Linked DNA regions of Diceros bicornis minor. The protein of the gene in region 4 purifies or fractionates together with the protein of the main gene of each other region. This does not show direct contact. Links are inferred from orthologs where the notes say so. Each region holds a gene or a part of one and is shown on either strand. Other genes may lie near its edges. The genes, in order: RPS3, E3 ubiquitin-protein ligase TRIM22-like, ARRB1 and NFKBIA.

The links.
Region 1: the proteins of NFKBIA (region 4) and RPS3 purify together in Homo sapiens (affinity purification with western blotting; 4 studies listed by BioGRID and IntAct, with this or other methods). This does not show direct contact. The link is inferred for Diceros bicornis minor from reciprocal best matches to the Homo sapiens genes NFKBIA and RPS3.
Region 2: the proteins of NFKBIA (region 4) and E3 ubiquitin-protein ligase TRIM22-like purify together in Homo sapiens (affinity purification with western blotting; 3 studies listed by BioGRID). This does not show direct contact. The link is inferred for Diceros bicornis minor from reciprocal best matches to the Homo sapiens genes NFKBIA and TRIM22.
Region 3: the proteins of NFKBIA (region 4) and ARRB1 purify together in Homo sapiens (affinity purification with western blotting; 3 studies listed by BioGRID and IntAct, with this or other methods). This does not show direct contact. The link is inferred for Diceros bicornis minor from reciprocal best matches to the Homo sapiens genes NFKBIA and ARRB1.

What each region holds. Positions count from the first base shown.
Region 1 is NC_080746.1:55,785,409-55,792,643, forward strand, and holds the start of RPS3 (small ribosomal subunit protein uS3), read right to left. Parts: upstream 3,004-7,235; 5' UTR 2,954-3,003; coding exon 2,924-2,953; intron 2,039-2,923; exon of another isoform or gene 1,889-2,038; intron 1,738-1,888; coding exon 1,607-1,737; intron 1,063-1,606; coding exon 969-1,062; intron 516-968; coding exon 421-515; intron 1-420. UniProt on the Homo sapiens protein: Component of the small ribosomal subunit. The ribosome is a large ribonucleoprotein complex responsible for the synthesis of proteins in the cell. Has endonuclease activity and plays a role in repair of damaged DNA.
Region 2 is NC_080746.1:63,065,613-63,072,621, reverse strand, and holds the start of E3 ubiquitin-protein ligase TRIM22-like, read right to left. Parts: upstream 3,010-7,009; 5' UTR 2,885-3,009; intron 1-2,884. UniProt on the Homo sapiens protein: Interferon-induced E3 ubiquitin ligase that plays important roles in innate and adaptive immunity.
Region 3 is NC_080746.1:55,868,051-55,874,978, reverse strand, and holds the start of ARRB1 (beta-arrestin-1), read right to left. Parts: upstream 3,003-6,928; 5' UTR 2,888-3,002; coding exon 2,832-2,887; intron 1-2,831. UniProt on the Homo sapiens protein: Functions in regulating agonist-mediated G-protein coupled receptor (GPCR) signaling by mediating both receptor desensitization and resensitization processes.
Region 4 is NC_080744.1:14,039,667-14,047,516, forward strand, and holds the start of NFKBIA (NF-kappa-B inhibitor alpha), read left to right. Parts: upstream 1-4,838; 5' UTR 4,839-4,927; coding exon 4,928-5,154; intron 5,155-5,738; coding exon 5,739-5,847; intron 5,848-6,180; coding exon 6,181-6,391; intron 6,392-6,657; coding exon 6,658-6,746; intron 6,747-6,875; coding exon 6,876-7,136; intron 7,137-7,488; coding exon 7,489-7,536; 3' UTR 7,537-7,850. UniProt on the Homo sapiens protein: Inhibits the activity of dimeric NF-kappa-B/REL complexes by trapping REL (RELA/p65 and NFKB1/p50) dimers in the cytoplasm by masking their nuclear localization signals.

The DNA.
Region 1 (7,235 bases), on a different chromosome or scaffold from region 4:
GGTTAAGTGCGCGCGCTCCGCTGCGGCGGCCCGGGGTTCGCTGGTTCGGATCCCGGGCGCGCACCGACGCACTGCTTGGTAAGCCATGCTGTGGCGGCGTCCCATATAAAGTGGAGGAAGATAGGCACAGATGTTAGCCCAGGGCCGTCTTCCTCAGCAAAAAAAGAGGAGGATTGGCGGATGTTAGCTCAGGGCTGATCTCCTCACAAAAAAAAAAAAAAAAAAAAAAAAAAAACTTGTTTTTTCACTCGTCTTCCTTGCTAGACTGTCAGTTCAGCAAGGACATGGATTGCCAACCTCAGAGACTAGCAGAGCCTGCCACGTACAAAGAGTTCATTTGCTGAATTAGCAAGATGTAAGACACACCATATTCTGATCCACAAAAACGGGCACAACCATTAAAAGTCTCAGGACACTTACCTCCGCACAGCAAGGCCTCCCAGGAGTTTGTAACGCAGAGACTCTGCCTGGGCAATGGCACAGAGACCTCTTGTGGCCACCTTTTCAGCATAAAGCTTTAAGAAGGAAACAAGGCACATCCTTAAACCTGTTACCATCACCACTGTACACATCACTGCAGTATCCCTCAAGCACTAAAGCACCTCTAGCATCCACACCTAGCACACACTGTGACTGAGGCTGAACCACTCCACTCCTGCCCTTCCACTCCTACCTCTTCCTATGGCCAGACCAAGAAGACGGATGGGGCAGCCAATCCATCATACATATCATTACTATACCCAAGTTGAATGCAAAATCCCTTAACCAAGAAATGAGTAGAACAGGCCTGTAAAATTAAGCCCACTGCTTATTAAGAGAACTTCAACAAAATACCAATCCATTTGTAATACTCATTAATCATGAATAAACAAAGTCTTCAGGGTGATGGTAAGGGTTTTTAGAAGTACCATCCTAAAGAGCCATTTCCAGGTCCACAGTAACCTCTGGCACAAGCCAGGATCCCTCACCTCTACACTGCCCTCAGGGAAGCCAAATCTCTTCTGAACCACAGCGGTCAATTCCCGGATCCGCCGGCCCTTCTCACCAAGAACATTCTGTGTCCTGGAGAAAATAAAAAGGGACAATTCATAGCTCTCACAAAAATTCCAGACATACCTTTTTTTTTGTTTTTGTGAGGAAGATCAGCCCTGTGTTAACATCTGCCAATACGCCTCCTTTTTTTTTTTTTTTTTTTTTTGCTGAGGAAGACTGGCCCAGGGCTAACATCCGTGCCCATCTTTCTCCACTTTATATGGGATGCCGCCACAGCATGGCTTGCCAAGCAGTGTATCACTGCGCGCCCGGGATCCCAACCGGTGGACCCCGGGCCACTGCAGCAGAGCGCGTGCACTTAACTGCTTGCGCCACCGGGCTGGCCCCCAGACATACCTTTAAATCTTGTATATATTTGGTAGTAAAGTCTCATTCAACTGACAAACAAGTATAAATTTTGAATGACAAGAACTAGAGTTGGATAAAAAATGCAGTTTGAAAAAAATTCCATTTGCTAAGGCCAAATTCACTAGCTGTCCCCTTAGGTTTACAGAATAAACCATCTTAGTAGATACAACAATTATAGGTGATAGCCAGGAAAACAAGTTTTTACCTGGTGGCCAAGATGATGATTTCTGTCCTGGTTGGTGTCACTCGGACCTCAACTCCAGAGTAGCCATCTTCAGCCAGCTCCCGAGTGAGAAACTCGTTCAGTTCAGCTTTGAAGATGCCATCAGCGACAAACTAACCAAAAAGCAAAATTCAAAATTACGACATGGGTGCAGGCTCACTTTCTCCTGCCTAGACTTTCAGCCAATTTCATCAAAATTCAGCACCTCCAACAAATCATCCATCATCAATTCTATTACCCTCCTTCCAACAGGAATGTAGCAACCCTTCTCAGACAAATGCCTCTATGTCATCTCTCAGAAGTTACTCTGACCCAGGACCCTTAACACTGTGCCACAGAACGCAGCACGGAATAGGAGCCACCAGGACAAAGATGACACTTTCAGTCAGACTCGTCATCTTCTCTTCATTGAAGGGTTTTCAAGACTCATTTATATGCAAACACGCTACACAGAAAACTACTCCGAAAAAGCACATTTACAACTCATTCATTCCACACAGCAGGGACACTCCGCTTGAAACTAGCGAAAAGGACAGACAATAACTGAAGTTAAGCAGTCTCCCTTGTGGACACAACTTGGACCATCAGAAGAACCCCAGCCACGTTGTCTCGCCTCCCTTAAGGTAGCTGTGTCTTACAGAGCTGGCAAATCCCAACTCACAAAAGCGTGTGGATTTCATCTTAACATCGATGTATGTACACACGAAATGGCAAACTGCCTGTTTCTAAAGCAAATGGACTTTACACGTTTCTCTCCCATGGAAATGCGAAAAGTTAAACTTCAGAAAGTGTTCGTCCCAGGTCCCCTCCCTCCACTCGCCCACCCCTTTTCCTTGGACCCCGGATGGAGTAAGAAACTGTCGGTAGCCTCTCCAACTGCGGTCTTTGGGGCCAGACGGCCGCACTCAGACACGACTAGTAAGAAGGCAAGAATACGTACACGGCTACCTCCCTCCCCAAAACAACGGTGCCCTCAAATACAACGCCTTTACCAATTTTATTTGTTGACCAGTAAATGCTCACAAGCCCCTTCTCCGGAGCAGAAGCGGCGCCGGGTGCTTATGTCTGCTCTCCGCCCGGAACCGGCGGAAATCTGTCTTTCCCTTCCCCGCCACACTGCGCTCGCCCGGCTCAGGCCCCGCACTCAATCCACCACCATCCGCGGCCCCCGGGGACGCCACACGGCCCAAGCCGCTTCCCACGGCCGGGCACGGAGCTGCGGGTCTTGCGGCGGCACCTCGAGAAGCCTCTGAACTGCGCGAGGCCGCAATCCCACGGACCCGGGCCCCAGCGTCTCACCTTCCTCTTCTTGGAAATCTGGACCGCCATCTTGCCGCCGCGCGCCGCCGAAAGGAAAGGAAGTGGCTCTCGGGCGGAAGTGGGTATAAAGGGCGCGGAGCGACGACAAAGAACTGCGCGACGTCGACGCCTGTGGGCCCTCATGGGAAATGTAGTTTTTACCTTAGCATTAAAGGAAGAAGAAAAGTGATGGAGACACCTGTAGGCAGAAACAGGAAAGGGAGCGGATCGTGAGAACTTCAGAACTGCAAGGGAGCTTAGAGTCCAATTCTCATTGGTTTAAAAAAGAGCAAGAGGGCTGGCCTGGTGGCTTAGCGGTTAAGTGGCAGCGCTCTGCTACTGGCGGCCTGGGTTGGGAACCCTGGGCGCCCACCGACACAGTTTCTGGGACATGCTGAGGCCGTGTCCCACATACAGCAACTAGAAGGATGTGCAACTGTAACATACAACTATCTACTGGGGCTTTGGGGAAAAAAGGAGGAGGATTGGCAATAGATGTTAGCTCAGAGCTGGTCTTCCTGAGCAAAAAAAAAGGAGGAGGATTAGCATGGATGTTAGCTCAGGGCTGATCTTCCTCACAAAAAAAAAAAAATGAGGAATGTGATGTGCAGAGATGGGAATTACAGGCATTGAGCTCACAGAGCAACAGCGTTTAACAAGCATGGAACCCTGGTCCCTCCACTCTACACTGTAATGAAAATCCACCAAAAGCCCTCAGTGAAATTCAGTTAGGCGCCCAGCTCCTCCATTCTGTGTCCATTTCCTTCGTTCCAAGTGATAATATCTAATGTTTATTAAGTATTCTACAGACTGTTCTATGCCCTTTATATTATTAACTCATTTACCCCACCCCACTTTCATAAAGTCGGTTACAACTTGTAACAAAAGTCACAAAGCAGTGGCTCATGGGCTCACAATTCTTTTTCAATTAAAAGAATTTCCCCCCATATTTTATTATGAAACTTTTCAAGCGTACAGAAAAGTTGAAAGAGTTGTGCAGTGCACATCCGTATACACATCACCTAGCTGCTACAATGAACATTTTTGCTATTTGCTTCGTTACATATCTATCCATCCCTCCACCCACCCACCAATGCATCTTTTGGTGCATTTCAAAGTACAGTGCAGATGTCAGTACACTTCACTAAACACTCTAACAATGATTTTATTTTAAATTTGAATAGTTTGCTTGCATTTAAAAATCAGGAAATTTCTCTATAAAACCCTTTTAGGTTATTCTTAAAAATATATAAAGATCTAGCAAAATACCAGGCCCACATGTCCTCGTGACTGTGCTCTCCTTCCCTGGTAAATGGAAAAGCGCTTTGCAATGTGCCACAGTCCCTGGCAGCTTCGCCCATTTGTGGTCTGGTCCTAGAAGCCATTTGAGCTTTTCCCTAGCACTAAAACAACTCTGATGCAAAGATCTGTCCTATAATCGTGGACAGAATTCTGGGGGGAGCTGAGCAGAGGGACCAGGGAAGAAGTGGATGAACCAAAGAGATGGATAGGCTGTGGACTCAGTGTATCTCGATGACAGATTGAGGTTGAGGGGGCATTGAGAATGATGGTCCGGATTCTGACTCCAGTGGTGGATATTTGGTGATGACTGTCACTGAGATGGGGAACCTGGGAACAGGCTCTTTCTCTGTGTGTCCTCTCCCTCTGCTCTTCACTCCCCTCCTCATCCAGATCACTGTTAATTCAGTGGTGTCAGGCTGCTAAAAGCTCAACCCTGATGTATCTGTCTACTTGACCTGTCTACACCCTCATTCAGGATGTGGGTGCTGTGAGAGAGCACCCAGCCTTGCATGCTGGGGCCAGAATACTTCCTCATTCAGATATGCCCCTCATTCTCCTATGGTGCTTATTGTAATCTTTGTCAAATCAGAGCCTCCCCCTCACTCTCAGCAGTCAACCTCCCTCCTAACCCCTTGCCCCCTAAGTAGATTGTACAGGCAAGAACTGCCCCTCATTTACCCTATAATTGTATGTGTCCTTGGTCATCCTTCCTTTCTCCTTCCCTGTTCTTGCCCATGGTCACCCTCCTCTATGTGTTCTGGTGCAAGTTTAGTTCTGTTCCCTTGAGACCTTTCTCCAGTGGTCATGCCCTCCCTTTCCTATGATATTCTTCCTTTACTGGCTCTTTCCTTCCCCACCATCATGTTAAATATGTCTTTTCCTCCAGGGTTGGGCCTCTCCTAGTTGCTCCCATAACCACAACACTCATCTCACTGGGTTGGAATGGCCTCTTCATGTGTTTCTCCCACTGGACTGTAAGCTCCGTAAGAGCCGAGACCAAGCCTGTTTTGTTCATTAGATGCTGAGCCAAGAACATGGCCTGGCTCAGGCCCAGTGTCAATACAAGTTTGATAAACAAATCACTGCATGGATTCTGGTTTTAGATCAGTTCTTGGTAGCGTGGTTCAAATGAATTTGCTTGCAAAGGCCATGTCTTACCTGGGATGCTCACAAAACCAAGTTCAGGAGACTCAGAGCTGAGGACCAGACCATGGCAGGTTCTCTGAGGTAAATGCCACCTCTGGAGGCTCCATGGTAGCTCATCTGCTGTCCTTTCCCAGTGACACCAGGAGGCTGCCTGCCTGGATATTGTCCTCTGGTCCCAGGAGAAAGCCCACGAAGCAAGCCTTTGTCTTTATCATGATACTTTCATTTTATCTAAGACCATTATAAGAAGACGACATTATATGGCTTAAAATAATGCTGTAAAAAGAGTAGTCACAATACACTGAATTCTAATTAAGAGCAGGGCCTGTGAGAGAGCCTTAATCTCTGCCGTGGTATCCAAACTGTAAACAAGGGCTAATCTGTTTAGCCCACAGTGCCACGGAAGTGTCCCTGGAACTGTGAAGAGAGGGCCATGTGTCTGAGAACACATATGGCCTTGTTGCCACCCTCAGGCCATGCCTGGGCCCTGTGAGTGCCACACAGGTCCTGTCCTGGAATTCCTAAAAATCAGAGTTGTGATTTGCCCTGGTTCAACGAATATAGACCACAGTTTTAGAGAATGTAGACCACGATTTAGTCACTTTAAGACTAGTACAGTGGAATCTCATAGAAAGCATTTAACTTACCTGGATCCAACGGGAGGAGCTTGGAAAAAAAGAAGAGAAAATTTTAAAGATTTTATTTATTTATTTATTTATTTACTTATTTATTTACTTATTTATTTATTTTATTTTCTATTTTCTTCCGCCCAAAGCCCCAGTAGATAGTTGTATGTCATAGCTGCACATCCTTCTAGTTGCTGCATGTGGGACGCAGCCTCAGCATGGCCGGAGAAGCGGTGCGTCAGTGTGCGCCCGGGATCTGAACCCCGGGCCGCCAGCAGCTGAGCGTGCACTTAACCCTCAGCCATGGGGCCGGCCCTTTTTTTTTTTTTTAAAGATTTTATTTATTTATTAAAAGAAGAGAAAATTTAAACAGTGTGAGGGAAGGTGGGTGTGCCTGTCTTCCTGCTCCAAGAGCCCTGGGGCTCAGAGTGAGGAGGGAGGACAGAGGGGCCTTCTGCTTTCCCAGGCAGCCTAGGTCTGCCTTCCCTGAGGACCTTCTCTGAGCATCTAGCTGGGCTGATTTTCAAAGATTTATGTTTTTTTCTACAAGACCTCCGAATAAGCTAACAACTTATCTAGTGTTCAACCAAAGAACCAGGGGTCTGTGCCAGTCTTGGAGGGAACTGGATTCACGGAGAGAGGGCCCATCCGTCTCCACCAGGGCACCTCTTAAGGGATTATTGTTCTAGGATAATATTGACCATATTTGGTTGTCACTTACTTTAGATAATAACGCCCCCAGTAAGACATGATGATGTCGTCAGGTTCTCATTGATTTGATTAAAATTGAGCAGTGACTCACTCTGGGTGGGCCTGGAACTGAGTCTTTGGATATGAATAGAATACTGCAGAATAAATATTTTAATAATTTTTTTTTCACTGCTTTTGTATCATTGCTAACACTCACACTTCTGTTTTTCTTTTTTTGGTAAGGAAGATTCACCCTGAGCTAACATCTGTTGCCAATCTTCCTCTTTTTGCTTGAGGAAGATTGGCCCTGGGCTAACATCTGTGCCAGTCTTCCTCTATTTTGTATGTGGGATGCTGCCACAGCATACTTGATGAGTGGTGTGTAGGTCTGCACCCGGGATCCGAACCCATGAACCCTCGGCTGCCAGAGTGGAGTGCGTGAACTTAACCACAACACCACTGGGCCAGCCCAGACTCATACTTCTGATACCTCTACTTACAATAAAAATAAGATCTAGTGTATGGAAAGATGTGAGAAAACCAGCATC
Region 2 (7,009 bases), on a different chromosome or scaffold from region 4:
TCATCTGTTAGTCTTGGGATCAAAGGGACCCTGTTTCAAACACACTGAGTGCTACTACAGATTGAATTGTGTTCTCCAAAAAGATGTTGAAGTCCTAACCCCATATATGTGTGAATGTAACTTTATTTGGAAATCATATCTTTGCAGATGATCAAGTTAAAATGAAGTCATTAGGGTGGGCCTAAATTCAACATGACTGTGTACTTATAAAGATGGAAAATTTGGACACAGACAGACATGCACACATGGAAAATCTATGTAAAGACAAAGGCAGAAATCAGGGTGATGCATCTACAAATCAAGGAATGCCAAAGATTTCCAGCTAACTATCAGAAGCTAGCAGAGAGACTTGGAACAGATCCTTCCCACACAACCTTCAGAAAGAACCAACCCTGCCAACACCTGTGATCTTGTATTTCTAGCCTCCAGAATCGTGAGAAAATAAATTTTATTTAACTCGTCCATTTGTGGTACATTTTTTATGGCATCCCTAGAAAATAACACCAGTACTTATTTTTCCTTTATTCATTCATTCTTTATTCTATCATTGAAGAAGCAATATACCATTGAAATTCTCCCCACCTAAGACAGACAGACAAACAGACAGATACATACAGAGATAAGACATATGCTCCCCTCTGGAGATGGAGCAATGTAGGAGTTTTTACAGTAAGGTAAGGACCAACTAGGTCCTGAGTTTCCTTATCTCACTATATCCTGATGGTCTGCACAGAGGCTTTCTGTATCTGTACAGTTTAGACAAGAAAAAGGAAAGTATCTCCACAATAAGGAGAATAAGTCCTATGAGGGGTTGAACCAACATTCTTGAAACTTCCCCTGTTCCCTGGATCAGGAATTGCCAATGGGAAAGTGGACTTGTCCTTGGCATCCAGAGACTTGAGGAAACTCAGAAACAGTGCAACTCCTCTCCATCCCTCTACGCTCAGAGCTCCCTCTTCAACCACCTCTTAGAGATCAGGGTTTAACTTGCCCCACATTAATTACCCTCTCCCCAAACACTCTAGCTCCCAGGTCAACTAGTTTCAAAGAAATCATTTGATAACAGAGGCCATCTTCATAAAGCTGCCCCTGGTCTCATCCCTTTTTCTCACTGTCAGTTCATCAGAATATACTCTATCTCTCACTTCAAATTAAAGAGTCTTTCACCCTGATTCCAAGAATAGTTTCCCCACTGGTCTCCCTGATACTGCCATTGCTCCCACAAAGTCTCTTTTCATCACTGTTCACACTAACAGCTAGAATGATTTTTAAAAGTATACATCAATCTTGTCACTACTCTGCTCAAATGCATGTCATTTAGCTTGAGTCCATCTTTTTCGTGGTCTAGTTAGGGGCACATAACACATCCCCTGCTATGGCCTCATCCCTCTCAGCCCACCTCCTACTCTTGTGGAACCCACACTGGCTGTTTTTATGCTCCTTAATCACTCTGGACAAAAATCCATCTTAAATTCATCATTTCCTTGAATATGCTGCTCAAAATCACCTGTCCATGCTAAGACTTAACCTGAAATTTATTTAAAATTTCAAAGCTCTTTCCCAGGGCACATAGATTCTGTCTCCATTACAGCCCTTTTGGTATATTATTGTTATTTCTTTGTTGTACATTTGTACCATAGTGAGTTTCATCTTTTAACACACTACATGACACTTTTACCCCTTGTTTTCTTTCTCCTGACTCAGAATATAATATTTCATAGGTACTTCATATTTATTTTATGTTCAGTAGATGTTAACACAATTTTTTTCACCATAGCTGTATGCTTTTGTTCTTGTGAATTTAAGCAGAAATATTAAAAATTAAAAAAAAATTCATTTCTTCCTGTTTATTGAGCTCTGTACTAGAACTGAGTAGACAATTAACATATACCATCTGTGAACCTTGTCCAAGTGTAAGGCACAGACTCATGACCTCTGAAAAGTGCAAGGAAATAAGACACACATGAAAACATATGTAACACAGAAATCAAGGAACAAAGTATTCACAGGTGAGATTAAGATGGGGTTCTTTGGAGAAATAACCAACTCCTTGTCTTTGTGCAAGGGAAAATTGAGTAAGGAGTTGAGGTAATAAGCAATGGAAAGGTGTGTCTAAGATGATGAGGAACAAGTTCTAAAGCAAGACCTCTCACCAGAAGGTCATGAGGCACTACTGAAGTAAGAGTAAACCCTTGCACTCAGCAGAGAACAAATTCCCTGTGCCTGGAACTCCAGAGATAAGTGACCACAGAGGAACTGCAGAGATAGGTAGCATCTGATAAGGCAGCCTCTCTCATTAGGCTGACCCAAGGGCTGGTAATTCATCAGGATGTTTGTGGATAGCTTCCTAGAAGCTACTAGGAACAGAGGAAAAGGATAATCTTCAATAAGGTCTTATCCCCGACGGAGCCCCTAAGATCTCTTCCCTCTATCATGAGTCCATATAAGGGCTCTTATGTCTGCTGGCTCTCACCAGGAGCTTGGGCTTTTATGAAGAGGGAAAACAGGACTCCATCCTCACAGCCTTTTCTGGAGAAAGGAGGAAGGAGTTCTCTGCCTCTGAAATAAAAGAGTATTCTGGCTCATCTTGTCAAGGTAGAAAGTCAAAACTACAGAATAGGAAGAAGGTGAAGGTAACAGTTTGGAGAAATAATGGTCCCTCCAAGAAACAAATGACATTCTTTGCCTTTTTAACCCTTCCTATTTTAAAGGTCACTCCTCTCCCAGACTCAATGCTCTCTTTCTCTGCCGCTTTAGCAGAAAACCTGTAAGCTGGCTCTTTTTGTTAATTCAGAGCAGCTTTAGAACCAATAAACTCACCCAAACACATTCATTCTATTCTCAAAGACTGCTGCCCTTTGCCCTCACAAGGTACCTTACACACCTTCAGGAGAAGTGGAGGAGTCTTGACTCCGTGGAGATCAGGTGCAGGTGTGGTCAAGATTCATTCATGAAGCCAGACTGATGCTTGTTCTAGAAGAGGAGTTTCCCCACAGGAGCTGGGTGAGAAATGAAAGTTAAGTTCTTAGAAGTAGAAATGAAACAAAGGAAACAGAACAGAAACTTAAAAACAATGGGAGGACACCAGAGGAGAGTCATGTTTCAGCATGTTCTAGGGCCTGCACCGATGAGTCACCCAATCTCTATATTCTTATTCCTCTCCCAGTTTACTCCAGCAAAATATTTGATAAGAATATGAATTACAATGATACATTCTACATCTTGCCCGAATACTCAGAATTTCAATTCAATCCTATAATTATTAGTTAAGCTTATCCAATAGTCAGATCTTAAGCAAGTCACTAGGGATAAAATATAATTCAAAAAGGCTCGGCACCTCACCTCTTGTATTGCAGAGTGTGATGGAAAAAGCAATCGCCTGCAAATTTGAGCTGGCACAGTGAGTATTAGTGGCTGTCATTGTGAATAGTAAAAATAAAATTTTTAAAATATCTTCAATGTGAGCCTATTTAGAAAATATTTTCACAATGTTATTGAATCTTAGAAGTCCACCAGTTAATTACCAGTTTCTGCTCCTTATCCAGGCAGGCCAGAAGAGGAAGGATTCTCAAGACTAATCATGGTAAAACTGTGTCATTTCCATGTTACTCAGCAACTAGGAGGAGGGTGAGAATATGGAGGTTAGTAGATGGTGCTGTTCCAGTATAATCTTTCACTGAGTAACACTCACACCTCCAAAATTTGCTGATTTTTCCCTGCTTCCTTTGGAAAACATTTGGTCCTCTCTATACCATAAACCAAAAGCAGAACATTTTATATTTCCTACACGTACTTTCATGCCACATTATCTATTGTGTTGTTGTTCTGACTACATGTTCCAGATGTTGCAGTTACAAGACGATGGATGCTCCATAACATGGATCCCTGACGGACGGAACTGAAGAACACATCATTCTTCACACATTAACTGATGTGAGACAGGTAGGGCACTGAGAAGTTGATGTTTTTCCAATTAAAGCACAGATATTTTGGTATTGTTTGTAATCTACAGAAAAGTAAGAAAATCTTGGCTTATAAACTCTTCCTGAATCACTTATATCTGTGAAGTAGTAACCGAAAATTATATAGACATAAATGCTGAGCCATATTGACAGTTTCAGTTTCTCGGCTATGAATAAAATTTGTTCTAATGATAAATAAACTCATGATGCCTTTCAAGTGCAGTGAAAGTCCTCCACATTTTGTATAAATTGCATTTTTCCTTTATCTTCTTTGTTATCACATAATACTGTCATTGAGTATCCCTCCTATTCTGGCCCTGTGCCCAACAACAGTAAGTTGTCTGAAGGCGGAAAGGGACCTTTTCTATGTTGTTCCTTCATGTCTCAGATCTACTACAAAGTGTTGTATATAGGGAGTGATATCTAAATAGAAAGGCATGCAGTAGCATAGCTATAGATATCATTTTAATTACATTGAACAAATTGATGATAATCACAGTTATATTCTATTGTTTTTGTGGCAGTCAACGTAATTGCTGTGATTCATAATGAAATTCTCGTATTTGTATTAACACATATGAACTCCCTTGACAAATTTTAATGAACAATTTTCCATTTCTTGTGTTTTGTTCCTAGGATTGACCCAGATACTTACCTCAATGCCGGATGTTTCCTCTATCTATACCACCACACTCTAACCGCATTACTTCCTGTACCCTGTGGTTTTTTCAGACTGTAAACAGTAAAAAATTGTGGGTTCAAAATGGAAGAACTTTCATGAGACTCCTCTCCAGCAAGAGATGTAGGGACTGGAGGGAAACACAGAGCGCTAAGGAGAATTTATTATTCCCTGGGCCTTCAGAACCTAACAAGCTAGAATGTGGACCATAACAAAGTGGCTACCTTTGTAAATAGACTTTGGGTGGGAAAAGGAGCATGGTTCCTTCCGGTTTCCTTTTGGCCCATGTTTTCTTGTCCCTGACAAGCTTTGATTTCCTCACTGGTTTCTCTCCACCTTAAATCTAATGTCTCAGAGGAAATTCCCAGGACATCAATGGCACTCTCCCTACCCTCCCATCCCCTCTTGGGCCTCTGATTCTCACCTACATTTTCCAGAGGAATTTTTTATAATCTCTTCTCAGACAAGATCAAAAACATCAGGTTTTCTATGTACCCATAATTTTTAAATTATAGGTTGATCCAAGGCTTTATAGCCCAAAGCTGCCCTATCTCAACCTACTCAAAAATAGATACCAAGTACTGGGTCTTGAGTTTTGCAAGATAGGGATCTCAGGGGCTAAGGAAGAGGGATCTAGAACAGCCAGCTTTTATACCCCCCACTGCCAAATAGATCTTTTTCTTTACATTCCAGAAGCACTTGGACCTCGTGTGAAGATCTCACAGAGAATGCATTAGTTCTCTTGGGCCCAGGACTTGAGGTCAGAACAGTGATTCAAAGGGAGAAAAGACTACAGGCACACTTTGCTTTATTGTGCTTCACAGATACTGTGTTCTATTACAAATTGAAGATTAGTGGCAACCCTGCATAAAGCAAGTTTATTGGCCCCATTTTTTCCAAAAGCATTTTCTTGCTTTGTGTCTCTGTGTCACGTTTTGGTAATTCTCACAATATTTCAAACTTTTTCATTATTATTATATTTGTTATGGTGATCTGTGATCAGTGATCTTTGATGTTACTATTGTAATTGATTGGGGTGCCATGAACTAAGCCCATATAAGGCAGTGAAATTAATCAATAACTGTTGTGTGTGTTCTGACTGCTCCATCAACCAGCCATTCCCTTGACTCTCTCCTTCTCCTCAGGCCTTCCTATTCCTTGATATACAACAATACTGAAATTTGACCAATTGATATCCCTAAAATGACCTCTAAGTGTTCAAGTGACAGGAAGAGAGGCACATCTCTCACTTTAAATCAAAAGCTATAAACAATTATGCTTAGTGAGGAAGGCATGTCAAAAGCTGAGATAGGCTGAAATCTAGGCCTATTGCACCAAACAACTAGTCAGGTTGTCAATGCGAAGGAAAAGTTCTTGGAGGAAATTAAAAGTACTACTCCAGTGAACATATGAATTCTAAGAAAGTGAAACAAACTTATTGCTGATGTGGAGAAAGTTTTAGTGGTCTGGATAGAAGATCAAACCAGCCACATTTCCTTAAGCCATAAGCCTAATCCAGAGTAAGGTCCTAACTCTCTCAATTCTATGAAGACTGAAAGAGGTGAGGAAGCTTCAGAAGAAATGTTTGAAGTTAGCAGAGGTTAATTCATGAGGTTGATGAATAGAAACTATCTCCATAACATAAATGTGCGAAGTGAAGCAGTAAGTGCTGATGTAGAAGCTGCAGCAGGTTATCCAGAAGACCTAGTTAAAATAATTAGTGAAGATGGCTACACTAAACAACCGATTTTCAAAGTAGGTAAAACAACTTTATATTGGAAAATGCCATCTAGGACTTTCATAGCAAGAGAGAAGTCAATGCATGGCTTCAAAGCTTCAAAGGACAGGCTGACTCTCTTGTTAGGAGGTAATGCAGCTAATAACTTCGAGTTGAGCCAATGCTGATTTCCCATTCTGAAAATCCTAGGTCCCTTAATAATTATGCTAAATCTACTCTGCCTATGCTCTATAAATGAACAACAAAGCCTGGATTACAGCATAGTTTCTTGAATACATTAAGCCCACTGTTGAGACCTACTCCTCAGAAAAAAACAAAAAAATTCCTTTCAAAATATTACAGCTTATTGACAATGCACCTGGTTACCCAAGAGCTCTGAGAGATGCACAACAAGATTAATGTTTTCATTTCTGCTAATACAATATCACTCTACAGCCCATGAGTCAAGAGGTCATTTCAACGTTCAAACCTTATTATTTAAGCTATACATTTTGTAAGTCTATAGCTGGCATAGATAAGATCCTCAGACAGATCTGGGCAAAGTAAATTGAAAATCTTCTGTAAAAGATTTACCATTCTAGATACCATTAAGAACATTCATGATTTATGGGACGAGGTCAAAATATCAAC
Region 3 (6,928 bases), on a different chromosome or scaffold from region 4:
AGGACCCAGGACAAGGGGCCCAGAGTGACTTTCAGGCACCAACCAAGCGTTGAGAGCAGCAACAGTGCCGGCATAATCAGATCTCACCATCTTCGCCGCTGCCCCCACCCAAGCCGCACTGTCGCCATTATAGGTCTCCTGGGCTCCGGCCACGGCCCCTCAGTCTGTTCTTCCCAGCAGGTGGAGAGAGGCTGTCAGGATGTCAGTCGTACTCCGCCACCCAAACTCCTCCTGGCTGGCGCAGGGAAAAGCCTGGAGTGCCTGTAAGGTCTGGAGGTTGCCTTGCCTCCTTTCCCTCCCGCATCACCTCCCGCTGTTCTCCCTCACTCCTCCAGCCACATGGCAGCTTGCTGGGGTTCCTCCAACACACCAGGTCGGTTCCTGCCTCAGGGCCTTTGCTTGAGCAGTCCCTCCCCAACAGCTCTGCTTGCCAGCCCCCCCCACCCTTACATGATGAGGCCTCGCCCTGTGCCTACTCCCCACTCCCACTCCTGCCCTCGCTCCACTTTTCCTTTTCCCACAGTGCCCACCACTGTCTAACCTACTACATGAGGGGCTTGCTGACCACATTCACGCCTATCCACTGCTAACGTGTCAGCTCTGAGGGCAGGGATCCTGTCTCTTTCGTTCACTGACGTGTCCCAAGCCCTAGAAGGGCACACCTAGTGGGTGTTTAACAAAGACGTGTTAATGAATGGTAGGGAGCAAGCACTCAATAAATATTAGTTGAGCGAGTGAATGAATGAATGAGTGAAGGAATCAACTGAGAAACTGAGGCCCAGGAAAGGGAAGGGATTGCCCGTGGCCACAGCAGAGCACTGGACATGGGGTCAGGCAGAGGCATGGTCCCCACTCCCGCCAAGCGCTCCCTGCCTTCCAGAGCACAGTGCAGCCTCCTCCAGCTGGGTGTGGGAGCCTGAGACCCCCTCACCTAGCGCCCATCATCTAGCCCCAGAATTGCTCAGGGTAATGTTGGGAGGGAGAGAAGAAAAGCGAAAGACAGCGACAGAGACCCTGAGGATAAGAGAAGGTGTTAGAGGAGGGAGGGAAGGGAGGAGAGGACAGGGATGCAGGCCCTGGAGGTGTGACAACAGATGAAAAAACAAACAAACAAACAACAAGAGAGGGTGAGGGAGATGCAGCAGACAGAGCATGGAGCAGGCCCACACGTAGCTGAGAGGAATCCACGCAGCCCAAATCCTTCCCAGGAGCAGGAGGTCCAGCAGGCGTCCAGGGCAAGGCAGGGTGAGGCCACAGTGTCACAGTGACAGTCGCTCCTCCAAGGAGGCGAGTGGGTGGTGGCTCTGTGCTGCCTCCATAGCCCACCCCCGCCCACACCACCCCCTTATTTATGGGGCCCAAAGGACCACGGATGGGTCTGAGCTTGGCTTGCAAAGAAGGGCCTGGCACTGCCCTCCCCAACCTCCCCTAGGAGTTCTGGGCTTCTCTCCTCCTCATAAATATTTATCAGTGTTCGCAGTGTGAAGATGCCACAGTCGGCTGGGGTGTAATAATTGCGAAAGTGAGAAAAAATACAGATCACACAGTTTGAATCAGCAGCTCCCCCGCTAGGGCTGGGCCTACAGAGGAGACCAGAAAAGTGGCACAGGCCACAGGGACCCCAGCTGCTTCCAGAAGCGTCAGTCTACCCTCGGGAGGCCTGGGTCTGAGGGAGAGGAGGGGACACAAATGCCTGAAGCCACAAATAACCGAGTCAGGGAAAGCCATTCCAGTGATCCTTGAGAGGAACACAGGAGGGGGCCAGGGCCAGGCTAGGAGGAGTGATAATCAAGGAAGGAGGGCGGGAGGTAAGAAGGACACAGCATTTGCTGAGTGCCTATTTAATTACTCTCCCAACAGCACTGTGGAGTGGGCATTATAACCCCCACTTTATAGATAATGAACCTGAGGTTCAGCGAGATGTAGTAATTTGCCCAGGAACACAGCAAACAGAGGCTAAGTCGGGATTCAGACCCAATTTTTTCTGTCTGCCTCCAGAGGCTGGGTCTTTATATCCGATCCTGCTGCTGTCCTAAAGCAGGTGTTTTTATCAACATCAGGATAACAGAAAAGAGGGGAAATGAGGACAGGAGAGGGGAGGGGAGGAGGAAGAAATGAAAGGGCGGCTAAGGGGTGAGAAGGAGAGGAGGGTGACAAGGGGCAGGAAGCATGGCGAGCCATGGGGAACATCCTGTCGCTAACTCCACCAGCCCCCAGGGCCACCTCCTCAGGAAGCCAGGATGCTGATGGCTTCCTCAAACAACCAGAGCAGCTGCCCAGGCCGCTGAGAGCGTGTTCCGCCCTAGTCAGGTCTCTAAGTGTTTTTCCCAGAACGTTGCTGATGCTTCAACAATCCCATGTCAGAGATGAGGAAACTGAGGCTCAGAGAGGGAAACTGTGGCTGCCTGTCTCCAGAGCCCATGTGGTTTCCACTCTGTCGCACAGCCAAGCCCTCCCTGAAGCAACTCCACTGGCTTCCTGACCCCAGGGCTGTCAGACAAAAGGCACCTGGGGGGTGCTTCCGGTTCCCCGGCCCCCTACACGTGCAGTGCCACACAGATAGCCTCTGCCTGTCCACTTTGAGGAGCAAGCACAAACATGCAAGACTGTGGTCAAAGCCAAGCTTCCAGACTGTGGGACGGTGCGGTTGGTTCACCCCAGAGTCCCATCTATGCCCCACGAGCCTGATCCTCAGAGCCAAAGCTGGGCCCCATAAGGGAAATACCGGTGGCATTCTAGCTGATGAAGGCTCACCGGAGAGACGGAAGAAGCCCACCAAGGGTAGCTCAAGAAAAGGAGGAGGGGGTATGACAAGGAGGCAAAAATCTCACGGGAAGGACGCGCAGGCAGGACGCATGGGGGCTGGAGCCAGGAACGGGGAAGCCATCAGCCTCTCAGGTGGTTGCTGTCTCTCTCCACCTCTCCCTCAGGGGCTGCATGTCTTCCCGGCTGCACGGCTCTCTGTGCGGCTGCTCCATTGTCTCTGTGGACCAACTCCCTCTGCTTACTCAGTGCTTTTCCACTCCTCCATCATCTTGGCTTCATGTGGCTCTCACTCCGACCTTGTTTCCACTCTGCCTCTCACTCAGCTCCCCACTGTTAACTGGCTGAATGGCCCAATTCCAAATCCCAGGAGAGGAATTTGATTGGCCAGCTTTGGTCAGGTGTCCCACGCCTGGACCAATCAGCTATGCCTTGGAGGTGTCATGTGGTCCATGAGGCATGGGCAGAAGAGGGTCTGTAAAGCAGTGTTTTTCAAACCAGGGGTTATAACCCATTAGTTGATAATGAAGTCAACTTCAAGAATTGCCACCAGCACTTTGTTCTTGTTGTTGTTTGCAATAGAATAGAAGATATAAGCATGAGGTGCAGATGGCAAGGGTATGGTAGATATTACGATATTTACCAATATTCTATTCTCCTCCAAGGCTGGACATATGAGTGGATCAAATTTCTCCAGTCCTATGAAGTTAGACATACCTATGTGGCTCGCTCTGGCCAACGAAATATGAATAGAAGTGCCACATGTCACTTCCAGGCAGAAGCATTTAAGGGCTGGTGCATGATTCCCTAGGCCCTTTGTATTAGTTTTCTATGGAGGCTATAACAAATGATCACAAACTTAGTGGCTTAAAACAACATAAACTTATTATCTTGCAATTCTGCAGTTCAGAAGTTCAAAATATACCTCACTAGGTTAAAATCAAGATGTTGGCTGGGCTATACTCCCTTCTGGAGGCTCTGGGGCAAATCTGTTTCCTTGCCCTCTCCAGCTTCTAGAGGCCACTCACATTCCTTGTCTCATAGCCTCTTCCTCCATCTTCAAAGCCAGCAACAGCAGGTTGAGTTCTTATCACATTGCATCACTCTTACCTCCTCTTCTGCCTCCCTCTTCCAGTTTTAAAGACCCTTCAGGATACATTCAGCTGCCTATTTTAAGATCAACTGATTAGCAACCTTAATTCAATCTGCAACTGTAATTCCCTTTTGCCATGTAATATAATGTATTCAAAGGTTCCAAGGGTTAGGAGGCAGACATCTTTGGGGGGCCATTCTTCCACCTACCACACCCTCTTTCCTCTGCCACTGAAACCAGCAATGATCGGGATGGGGAAGCCTCCAGCAACCTGAATCCCAGGGCTCTCCTGCTAGGTGATAGACATGTAGCATGAGAGAGAAAGAAAGCTCTCGAGCCACTAAGATTTGGGGGTTGTTTGTTAGTGCAGCAGACCAGCTTCTCCTGCCTGATACAAAAAGTAAGTATTATTTAGTGAAAATTTTGTTTCAGGTGAAATGAGTTACAATGTAAAATAAATGTCATGCTGCAAATTTTTAAATGTTTAAAATCCACTGTTCTAGAAAAGGAAACCCTCATGCACTGTTGGCAGGAATGCAAACTGGTACAGCCACTATGGAAATCTGTATGGAGATTTCTCAAAAAATTAAAAATTGAAATACCATGTGACCTAGCTATTCCACTACTGGGTATTTATACAAAGAACTTGAAATCAACAATTCAAAGAGGCTTATGCACCCCTGTGTTCATTGCAGCATTATTCACAATAGCCAAGACTTGGAAGCAACACAAGTGCCCATCGACTGATGAATGGATAAAGAAGATGTGGTATATATATACACTGGAATACTACTCAGCCATAAAAGAAGACAAAATCATCCCATTTGCAACAACATAGATGGAACTTAAGAGTATTATGTTAAGTGAGATAAGCCAGACAGAGAAAGACAACCACCATATGATTTCACTCATGTGTGGAAGATAAACAAATACATGGACAAAGAGAACAGATTAATGGTTACCACCAGGTAAGGGGGTTGGCGGGAGGGCATAAGGGGTAAAGGGGCACATATATACGGTGACTGACAAATAATAATGTACAACTGAAATTTCACAATGTTATAAACCATTATGACATCAATAAAAAATAAATAAAAAAATAAAGAGGTGAGATATTAAAAAAAAAAATCCACTGTTCTAGAGAAACATGCCTAAAATAAACATGCTCTATCAGTGTCTATGCAGCCTGTTGGATCCTGTGTTCTGATTCCACTCCATCAGGGTGGTGCTGCCAGGTGGGCTGGCAGGTCAGGTCTCCATGAACCAGAATGTTGGCTTCTCTAGTGAGCCCATTCCCCACCTGCAGCATGGGCTACCTGTTGGTCAACTTTGACATTAATATTCTGCTGCTCTTCTGGGAGCCGCCAGTCCTCCCAATGTTCATTTGTGCCTGTAGAAGGTGGTCTGCACCATAACGGACCCAGAACAAAGTACCTTCCAAGACAGATCCCCAACAACCAAGAGTTTATAGTTCTGTATAGTACAGCCAAACAATGGAATAGTACATAGGATTGAAATTATGCTTGCATCTTTCGTAACACAGGGAAATGCCCATGACAGAATATTAAGCAGAATAATTCAGGAATCAAAACAGTATATTTGGCATGAACTCAACTTTATACTCAATAAATACCCAAAAGAAAGAATGAGAAGACTTAGCACTAAGATGGCAATACTCCTCAAACTGATCTATGGTTTCAATGAAATTCTCACCAAAATCCCAGCTGAGTTTTTTGCAGAAATTGACAGGCTGATCCCAAAATTCACATGGAAACACAAAGTACCCAGAATAGCCAAAACAATCTGAAAAAAAACAGAACAAAGTTGGAGGACTCAGACTTTCCAAATTCAAAACTTACTACAAAGCTATAGTAATCAAGACTGCCATGTGATACTGGCATAAAGACAGACATGTAGATCAATGGAACAGAATTGAGAGTCCAGAAATAAATGAATATATTTATGGTCAATTGACTTTTGACAAGGGAGCCAAGAGAAGTCAATGGGGATAAAACAGTCTTTTCAACAAATGATGCTTGGACAACTGGATATCCACATGCAAAAGAATGAAGTTGGACCCCCTACCTCACACCATATACAAAAATTAACTCAAAATCGATCAAAGATCTAAATGTAAGAGCTACAACTATAAAACTCTTAGAAGAAAACATAAGTATACATTGACATGATCTTGGATAAGGCAATGGTTTCTTAGCTATGACACCGAAAACACAGGCAATTAAAGAAAAAAGTAGATAAATTGGACTTCATCAAAATTAAAAACTTTGGAGCTTCAAAGGTCACTGTCAAGAAAGTGAAAAAACAACCCACAGAATGGAGAAACTATTTTCAAATATTTGAAAATATTTGAAGAGGGCCTAGTACCCAGGATATATAAAGACCCTATTATGATTCAACAATAAACAGGTAAATAACTCAATTAAAAATGGACAATGGATTTGAATAGACATTTCTCCAAAGAAGATCTACAAGTGACCAATAAGCACATGAAAAGATGTTCAACATCATTAGTCACTGGGGAAATGCAAAATAAAGCCACAAGGAGATACTTCACACTCACTAGGATGGCTATGGTCAAAAAAGACAATAACAAGTGTTGCCAAGGATGTGGAGAAACAGGAACCCTCATACCTTGCCAGTGGGAAGGTAAAGCAGTGCAGTCACTTGGGAAAACCGTTTGATAGTTCATCCAAAAGTTAAATATAGAGTTAACATATGACCCAGCAATTCCATTCCTAAGCGTATATCCAAGAGAACTGAAAACGATGTCCACACAAAAACTTGTACAGAACTGCTCATAGCAGCATTACTCATAACAGTCATAAAAAGTGAAAAAAAACCCAAATGTCTATCAACTGATGAATGTGTTTTTTCAAATGTGGCATATTCATACCATGGAATATTACTCAGCTGTAAAAAGGGACGAAGTACTGATTCATGTTACAACATGGATGAACCTTGAAAACATTATGCTAAGTGAAAGAAGCCAGACACAAAAGACTATATACTGTTTGATTCCATTTACATGAAATATCCAGAATAGGCAACTAC
Region 4 (7,850 bases):
CCATATAGTTTCTGGTGGCAGATTTTGCCTCTGATGCTGAGGGATCACGAGCCCCTGACCTGATTATGGTGCCCAAGAGCAGGGTCCTCCTATCATTTATGTCCCATATCTGCGGAGTACCAGACCTTTGTGTGGAAATGCGCCAGTGCTAAGTATCCTCATACCCTGACTACACTCAGAATGAATTTACACCCTCCCACCGAAAATAGCAAATATACTGGTATGCAGAGGAAGCAATGTGCTGTTAAGCCTCCACCCCCTTCCTGATCCAACTGCTCCTCCCTGAACACAACAGAACATGATCAACCCTACACACCTATAGATATGACTTGGTTACTGCCAACAAACAGTGGAAAGAGAGAGCCAGGAATTCTGGCCGGGGGTGACACTTGCAGGCCTCTCCTTCCCTTCCCTGGCAGCAGGTTACCCAACAGGCAGACTGGGCACATGGTTGGGGCACCAGCAGAGCAGGTACACCTCAAAGAGGTGTTTATTGAAAGGATGAGTTAAAAAAAAACACCTAAGTGGTCCTTGTGAGATACATCAGAACTCTGTTGAGCTACTTACACTTATTTTACAGTGTAGTGTTTAAAAGTCCTTTGGAGGAGGGATAACTCTCTTTTCAGGGCTTAGAGCCTCTGATTCCAACCCTGCCTGCCAGAGACAGATCGACCTTCCTGGACAGACACACTCTACCCCCAGCCTCCAGTCACCCGGAGGAGCCGAGACCCCACGATGCCAGGGAGCTGAAAGTGGGTGCCTTCCCCCAGGCACCATGAAGACATCATACTTTAGCTGAAAAAGAGGTTGTAAACTCAGGGCCTAAATCTTTTGATTTAGCCAAAAGATGCAGAAATGCATTCTTGTCTGGTTTTCACATGTTTTAAAAGTTGAAAAATTTCACATCAAAATCCATTTTCTGGGCGGGCCCCGTGGCTTAGCGGTTAAGTGCACGCGCTCCGCTACTGGCAGCCCGAGTTCGGATCCCGGGCGCGCACCGACACACCGCTTCTCTGGCCATGCTGAGGCCGCCACATACAGCAACTAGAAGGATGTGCAACTATGACATACAACTATCTACTGGGGCTTTGGGGAAGAAAAAGAACAAAAAAAGGAGGAGGATTGGCAATAAATGTTAGCTCAGGGCTGATCTCCCTCACCAAAAAAAAAAAAAAAAATCCATTTTCTGATTTTTTCGTTAACAATGGAATATGAGTACTGCACTCAAAGTGCCACCTGGAAAAACTCATCTGAGCTGAGTGTGAGGGACATGTTCTCTCAGGTCTACACTGTGAGAGGCGCCACCACTTCCCCTTGGACTCACATGGCCGGCGTCACTCATCTGTGAAACCTGTCCAGCCCTGATGGGTTAAGTATTTGAGTTAGACCCTTTAAAGCTTTGATCCCCATTAAATTGCAGAATTTGTAGCAAAAGAAACACGTGATGGCTTTGACAGTTTTATTTTTAAGTCACTACAAATGAAGGTCCTGACAGCTGTTTTTCTGTGCAGAAAGATCCAGAGCTTGGGAGCTCCACATTCCGAGGGGGATGAATGGAGGCGGTTGCTAACCACCACAGGAGGAAAGAAGACTGAGCCTGGGATTGGAAGCAGAATATAAATTCAGAATTCCACAGTGGGGCTGTCCATGAGCAGTGTGCCTGACTCGCTTGCCCTTCAGGACTCTGTCATGGCCCCTCTCTCTCCAGGCCCGGCTGCACTGAGCAATGGGTAGCCTTTTTCAGGAGTTCAGTTTGCTGGGGCTAAAATAATTTTGGTTTAATTGGCCAGGGCAACTGGCACAGGACACCCTGCCCATGACGTTAAGAAAAGCCAAGTATGTTGGACCAGCTGGCTGAACTTACAGAAAAATCTCCCCCACGCTGCCAGGCCACTGGGCATTTCAGGCAGTAGGTTCGGTCCACACTGGGCATTTCCCAGCCAAGAAGAGCGTGAGCATCACTGGCCACCCTGTCATCCCCTACGGCTGCATGCTGGGCTAAAATACAAAGCAGCTTCAAGGTGAACTTATTCATTCTTTTGCCTCTTGCATTAAAAAGAAAAACGCCAAAAGACACTAAAAATAAGTTTTTTAACATCTTTAAAATGGTCAAGATTAGCTAAAATGTTTGACAATGAGGTGGGGAGAATTCTAAGTCTCTGAGTCCATAAAGTTCTTTCTAAACCAAAAATCAGTTTTGGCGTCTTCTCCTGCCCCACCTGCTTATGTTCTCTGATTTCCAGGTATGTTCTTTATGGGCCAAGTTGTAATGTTTGTTGATCTAAACCAAACAGAGCTATCTACGGTAGGGAGAAAACCTGTTGGATTACATTACTCAAAACTGTCTCCCAGGTTGCAGAGAAACAAAAGGCACCTCCTTGGGAATCCCCACCACGGGGACAGGTCATCAAGGCTCAGCACCTCCCAAAATTTCCAAAAGCAGGTGACAAATCTGGGCTGCCTGGGCCTGCATCTCACCACTAGGTGTCACACTAAACAACCAGGAATAAACACCACCAGGTCCTGAAAGCCTCAGGAACACAAAACCAAAACAAAAAAAGGAGGTGCAAAGATACTTATTCCTGAGAAATGTTTTACTTATGCATGATTTTCTTTTTAATGATCATTTTTAAACCCGCAGCTAAAAATTCTCTTCTAAAGTATCCTTTCTAAGTGAGGCATTCCGAGTTCGACGCTTGTGTATGTTTTTTACAGACGTGATTATCCCCAGATAGGAGGCCATCAACCCTCCATTTTGTCTAACAATTGGAGTAGAAAGCACTTTGAATGTCTTCCAAATTATTTTCTCATTTTCACAATATGCTTTCAAAGTGTTAATACTATGACTGCTTTGGCCAAATGATTAATATGTTGGAATAGAAATTACATAACCTGCCATGGGGTGCCTAGCTAAATTTCTCTGCATTTCAGTTTCTTCTTAGGAAAGCAGGAGTAATACCTATCTTACGAGATTAGTTCGGGAACTAACAATGTGCTACATAAAGTCCTGGAGTTCTTCCAAACATTTACACTGATAGTTCCAAGAGACATGGCCCCCTTAAGCAGAGTTATAAATGCATTTGTGACCAAGTAATCCAATTTTTAAGCTGGAAAAAAACTCTAAATAGCATTAAGTCCAATCTTATTATTATAAAAACAGGTATATCACAGCAAAGTTAACTGATCTCTCCAACTTAATAGGCAGTTAATTCGAGGTAGAGCCTGGAATGGAGATCTCCTGCCTGTAGTTGCTCTCCCACCTTGCCCCGGTAATCGTACATTTGAATATCATATGCCTGCAGATACAAAGGGGTCTATCCCTGGGAAGTTTCCATTTTAACACGTGATCATCACTACCCCGAAGGTTTTATTTCCTGATTTTACCTTTCCTCCGCATCTTTTGTCTCACACCCCCATGGACCCAGGTTCCCTACATTCAGGTATCGGGGGCGGGGGAGATGAGAAGAGAAAGGTTGGTTAGTCCACGGCCAATCAAGTTAAAGATGATTGCAGAAATCTCTGCAAAACTATAGAGGCCTCCTGGGGCTAATTCTGCAGAACTTAGACCAAAGTTCCTTTATTTTGCCTGGACCAATTCTAGAAGTAGATGAACTCAGTCCGTGGCTTGTTGGCTAAGAGGTGGGGGTAGGGTGGGGAGCATAAGTTCTATCTCTGCAGGTGAAACCAGGGGATGGGGAGCCTGGAGCGACTACCCACGTTTGCACAGATAGGTTCCACCACTGCCTCCCCCAGCGCAGGAGAGCAAGGAGGAGGCAGGGGCAGGAGGGGGCAATGTTAGGGCTGGCTGCCTTGCAGTGGCCTAGCAGTTACTTTCCCAGCCATCCATAAGGCCCAATCCTGGATAAGACACTACTCAACCCATTCTTCAGCCTTCTTCTCCAAATGCTTCTGGAAAGTCACCCAGCTGGGCAGCCAGAGGTAGGCTCAGGATCCATTCTCTGCAGCAGCACAGTGCAAATCAGAGAACACGACCTCAGTGATGACTTCATTACTGCAAGGTATCTACAACTTCTAAGACAAGATTAACACCTTGCTCTGCTTGAAAAAAAAAATACAGTCATATTCAGCATTTTCCTGCATACTGGCCCAGTGCTTGTCCCTCCCCCAGTCAACAAGATTGTTAATCCCGAGGAAATGATTTGAGGGTTCTCCAAGCATTTCCACTTTTAACGCGAGGGGCTGAGGGGTGCCACATTCCCTGCACTGCCGAGAGCCTGGCGCTGGCAGGAACACAGAGGCAGCCCGCACTCCACCTTCTAACCGCCAGTGCGTCCTTCTCGGCAGACAGAAGTTTAGGGAAGCGAATCCCTACACCAAGCCATCATTTCCACTCGAGTTTTCAAAAGATCAAAAATCGGAAAGGACCGTTAGGTTGGCAAACCCTAAAGAGGAACCGCCCAGCAGGTCGGCGTCCTTGGAATCTCAGCAGCCGAGGACCCCTAATCAAATCGATCGTGGGAAACCCCAGGGAAAGAAGGATTCTTGCAGACGGACAGGATTACTGAGTGCAGGCTGCAGGGAAGTACCGGGGGAGGGGGCCCGGTCGGGAGGACTTTCCAGCCACTCAGCCTTCATCAAAAAGTTCCCTGTACATGACCCCAGTGGCTCATCGCAGGGAGTTTCTCTGCTGAACCCCGGCTCAGGGTTTAGAGTTCTTTTTCCCCTAGCAGAGGACGAGGCCAGTTCTCTTTTCTGGTCTGACTGGCTTGGAAATTCCCCGCGCCTGACCCCGCCCCGGAGAAATCCCCTGCCAGCGCTTATAGGGCGGCGCGGCGGCGCTGCCGAGCCCACAACAGTCCGGAGCCGCCGCGCCGCCCGCCCGCCCGCCCGCGCTCGACGCTGCGAGAGAGCGAGCGCTGCCCGCGGCCGAGCGCACCTGGGGAGCCGCGCCGAGCCTTTCCGCGCCATGTTTCAGCCCGCCGAGCACGGCCAGGAGTGGGCCATGGAGGGGCCCCGGGACGCGCTCAAGAAGGAGCGGCTGCTGGACGACCGCCACGACAGCGGCCTGGACTCCATGAAGGACGAGGAGTACGAGCAGATGGTGAAGGAGCTGCGCGAGATCCGCCTGGAGCCGCAGGAGGCGCCGCGCGGCGCCGAGCCCTGGAAGCAGCAGCTCACCGAGGACGGAGACTCGTAAGTGTCGCAGGCCTGGGTGGCGGGGCCGGGTGGGGGCGAAGGGCCTGCAGCCCGAGCCGCTGGGCCCGCGATGGGGCCTCGGACCCGGGGTTTATGCACCGTCCCCGAGACGGTGCAGAGCTGCAGGGCTCCGGTGGGGACGGGGGGTGCAGAAGGTTAGGGGGTCGCTCCCGGGGCCGGGGTTCCGCAGCTCTGCCTTGCAGCCGCGCACACCCCCCCACCCCCCCGTCCCTGTCCTCGGGCCGGGGGCGGGGCGGCGGCGGGGACGCGAAGTCCCCGCTTGCATAAGGGGGGCGGGCGTTCCTGGCCCGCTGGCGGGCGCCGCGCGGCCGGGAGGGGAAGTACAGGGCGTTCCGGGCCGGCGGGAGGGCGGGGCGGGCTGGCCGGCGCCCGGCGCGGGGGGGCCCGGAAAGTCCCTGGGCGCCTGCCAGGAACACTCAGCTCATAATAACCTCGCGGAAAACACCGCGGCCGCGGCCTCCAGAAACCCCGGCCTTGCGCAATCCCCCGCAGCCCGCGCCTCCCCGCGCCCCACGCAATGCGCTCACCAGCCCTGGGGGGTTTTCCCTCTCTTCCCTCAGGTTCCTGCACTTGGCTATCATCCATGAAGAGAAGGCCTTGACCATGGAAGTGGTCCGCCAAGTGAAGGGAGACCTGGCCTTCCTCAACTTCCAGAACAACCTGCAGCAGGTGCGCCCCTTGCTCAGCCCAGTGCCTCTGACCCCGTGGGGGAGCTGGATCTAGCACACTTGCTCCCAAGCCTTGATAAATGAACAGTCACTGGTCATTGTCTGCCCTGACCTTTTACGTTGGAATCTGCCAACATCCTAGAGTAAAGAATTCATTGATTTGGTGAGGCCTTTATGAAGCCCATCTGGGGGCTCTGGTGTTTATTTGTTTGTCCCTTGTACCTGTCTGGGAGGAGCAGCACCCACAAGCAGGACTTCTCTGGGGTTCAAGGGAACTCAGACTGTGGGTTTAGCCCGTGGCTTATTCTCTTTGTGTTCCCTCTTCTGTCTGTAGACTCCACTCCACTTGGCTGTGATCACCAACCAGCCAGAAATTGCTAAGGCACTTCTGGAAGCTGGCTGTGATCCTGAGCTCCGAGACTTTCGAGGAAATACCCCCCTACACCTTGCCTGTGAGCAGGGCTGCCTGGCCAGCGTGGGAGTCCTGACTCAGTCCTACGGGGCCCAACACCTCCATTCCATCCTGCAGGCCACCAACTACAATGGTACGTCTGGCTGCCCTGCTCATCAGAGGGCAGGTCACATGGAGAAGGGGGGAGAGGCAACTGAAGGAGTCTAGGCAAGAGCTTAAATTATCACCACGTAAAGGTTGAGCTAATATGTATGCAAAAGGCCTATCTGATGCCTTTACAAAGTTCATTCAGAACCCTGGCTTCTTCAAGTTTGTCCCTTAAAGGAACAGGTGAAAGGTTCTGCTTGAGATGTGCGAGTTGAAACAAATAGTTATACTTTTTTCATTTTGTCCTTCCAGGCCACACGTGTCTGCACCTAGCCTCTATCCATGGCTACCTGGGTATCGTGGAGCTTTTGGTGTCCTTGGGTGCTGATGTCAATGCTCAGGTGAGTGCTTCCTGCCTCCAGGTGGAGTGCATCAGGCTCCAGGGCCCACCTCAGCAAGACTTTATGTGCTCTTGTTGCAAGCAGAAATTCCAAACTCATCTAAACATCTCAAATGCCTTTTGGTTTCAGGAGCCCTGTAATGGCCGAACTGCCCTCCATCTCGCAGTGGACCTGCAGAATCCCGACCTGGTGTCCCTCTTGTTGAAGTGTGGGGCTGACGTCAACAGGGTCACCTACCAGGGCTACTCCCCCTATCAGCTCACCTGGGGCCGCCCAAGCACCCGGATACAGCAGCAGCTGGGCCAGCTGACCCTAGAAAACCTTCAGATGCTGCCAGAGAGTGAGGATGAGGAGAGCTACGACACGGAGTCTGAGTTCACAGAGGACGAGGTGAATCTCAACTTCTTTGTCACTCTGCAAAAAGCAGTGAGAGTGGCCATTCTCCCTGCACCCTCCCAGGCCCCTAGAGCTACTCTTCCCTAAGGTCTCAACATAGTGAAGTTCTCAAACTTGCCTGTGCATAACTAGTATCCCACGAGTGTGTCTTTTCTCTTTTGCCCCTTTTTAAGGAGAGGAGCATTAAAGGAAAACTCCCTCAGTCCGTCCAGTTAATTTATATTTGGGTTATAGAGAATGCAGTCCAAGAATACCTGAGTTATTCCCACTAGCACCACCCACCATCATCCCAGCCCCCTTGGCAAAGCTCTGAAGTTTAACGTGCCTTTTTTCCTCTTGTTTTTAGCTGCCCTATGATGACTGTGTGCTTGGAGGCCAGCGCCTGACGTTATGAGCTTCAGGAAGTGTCTAAAAGAACATGGACTTGTATATTTGTACAAAAAGAGAGTTTTATTTTTCTAAAAAAAAAAGAAAAAAGAAAAAAATCAAAAGAGTGTACTACTTATAACCACACTGCCTGGCCTGAAACATTTTACTGTGGTGGATCAGCTCTCATTTGGTTATTTTTGTGAACTTTGGAAGGGGGACAAGCAAGATCACTGGAATCCCAAGAAAACCCCTTTTAAACCTCACCTTTGTGGGGCTTTTAGAGAACGTGGTCCAAAATTTGATGAAAGGAATACATTTTATTTATTGTGCTTCTTGATT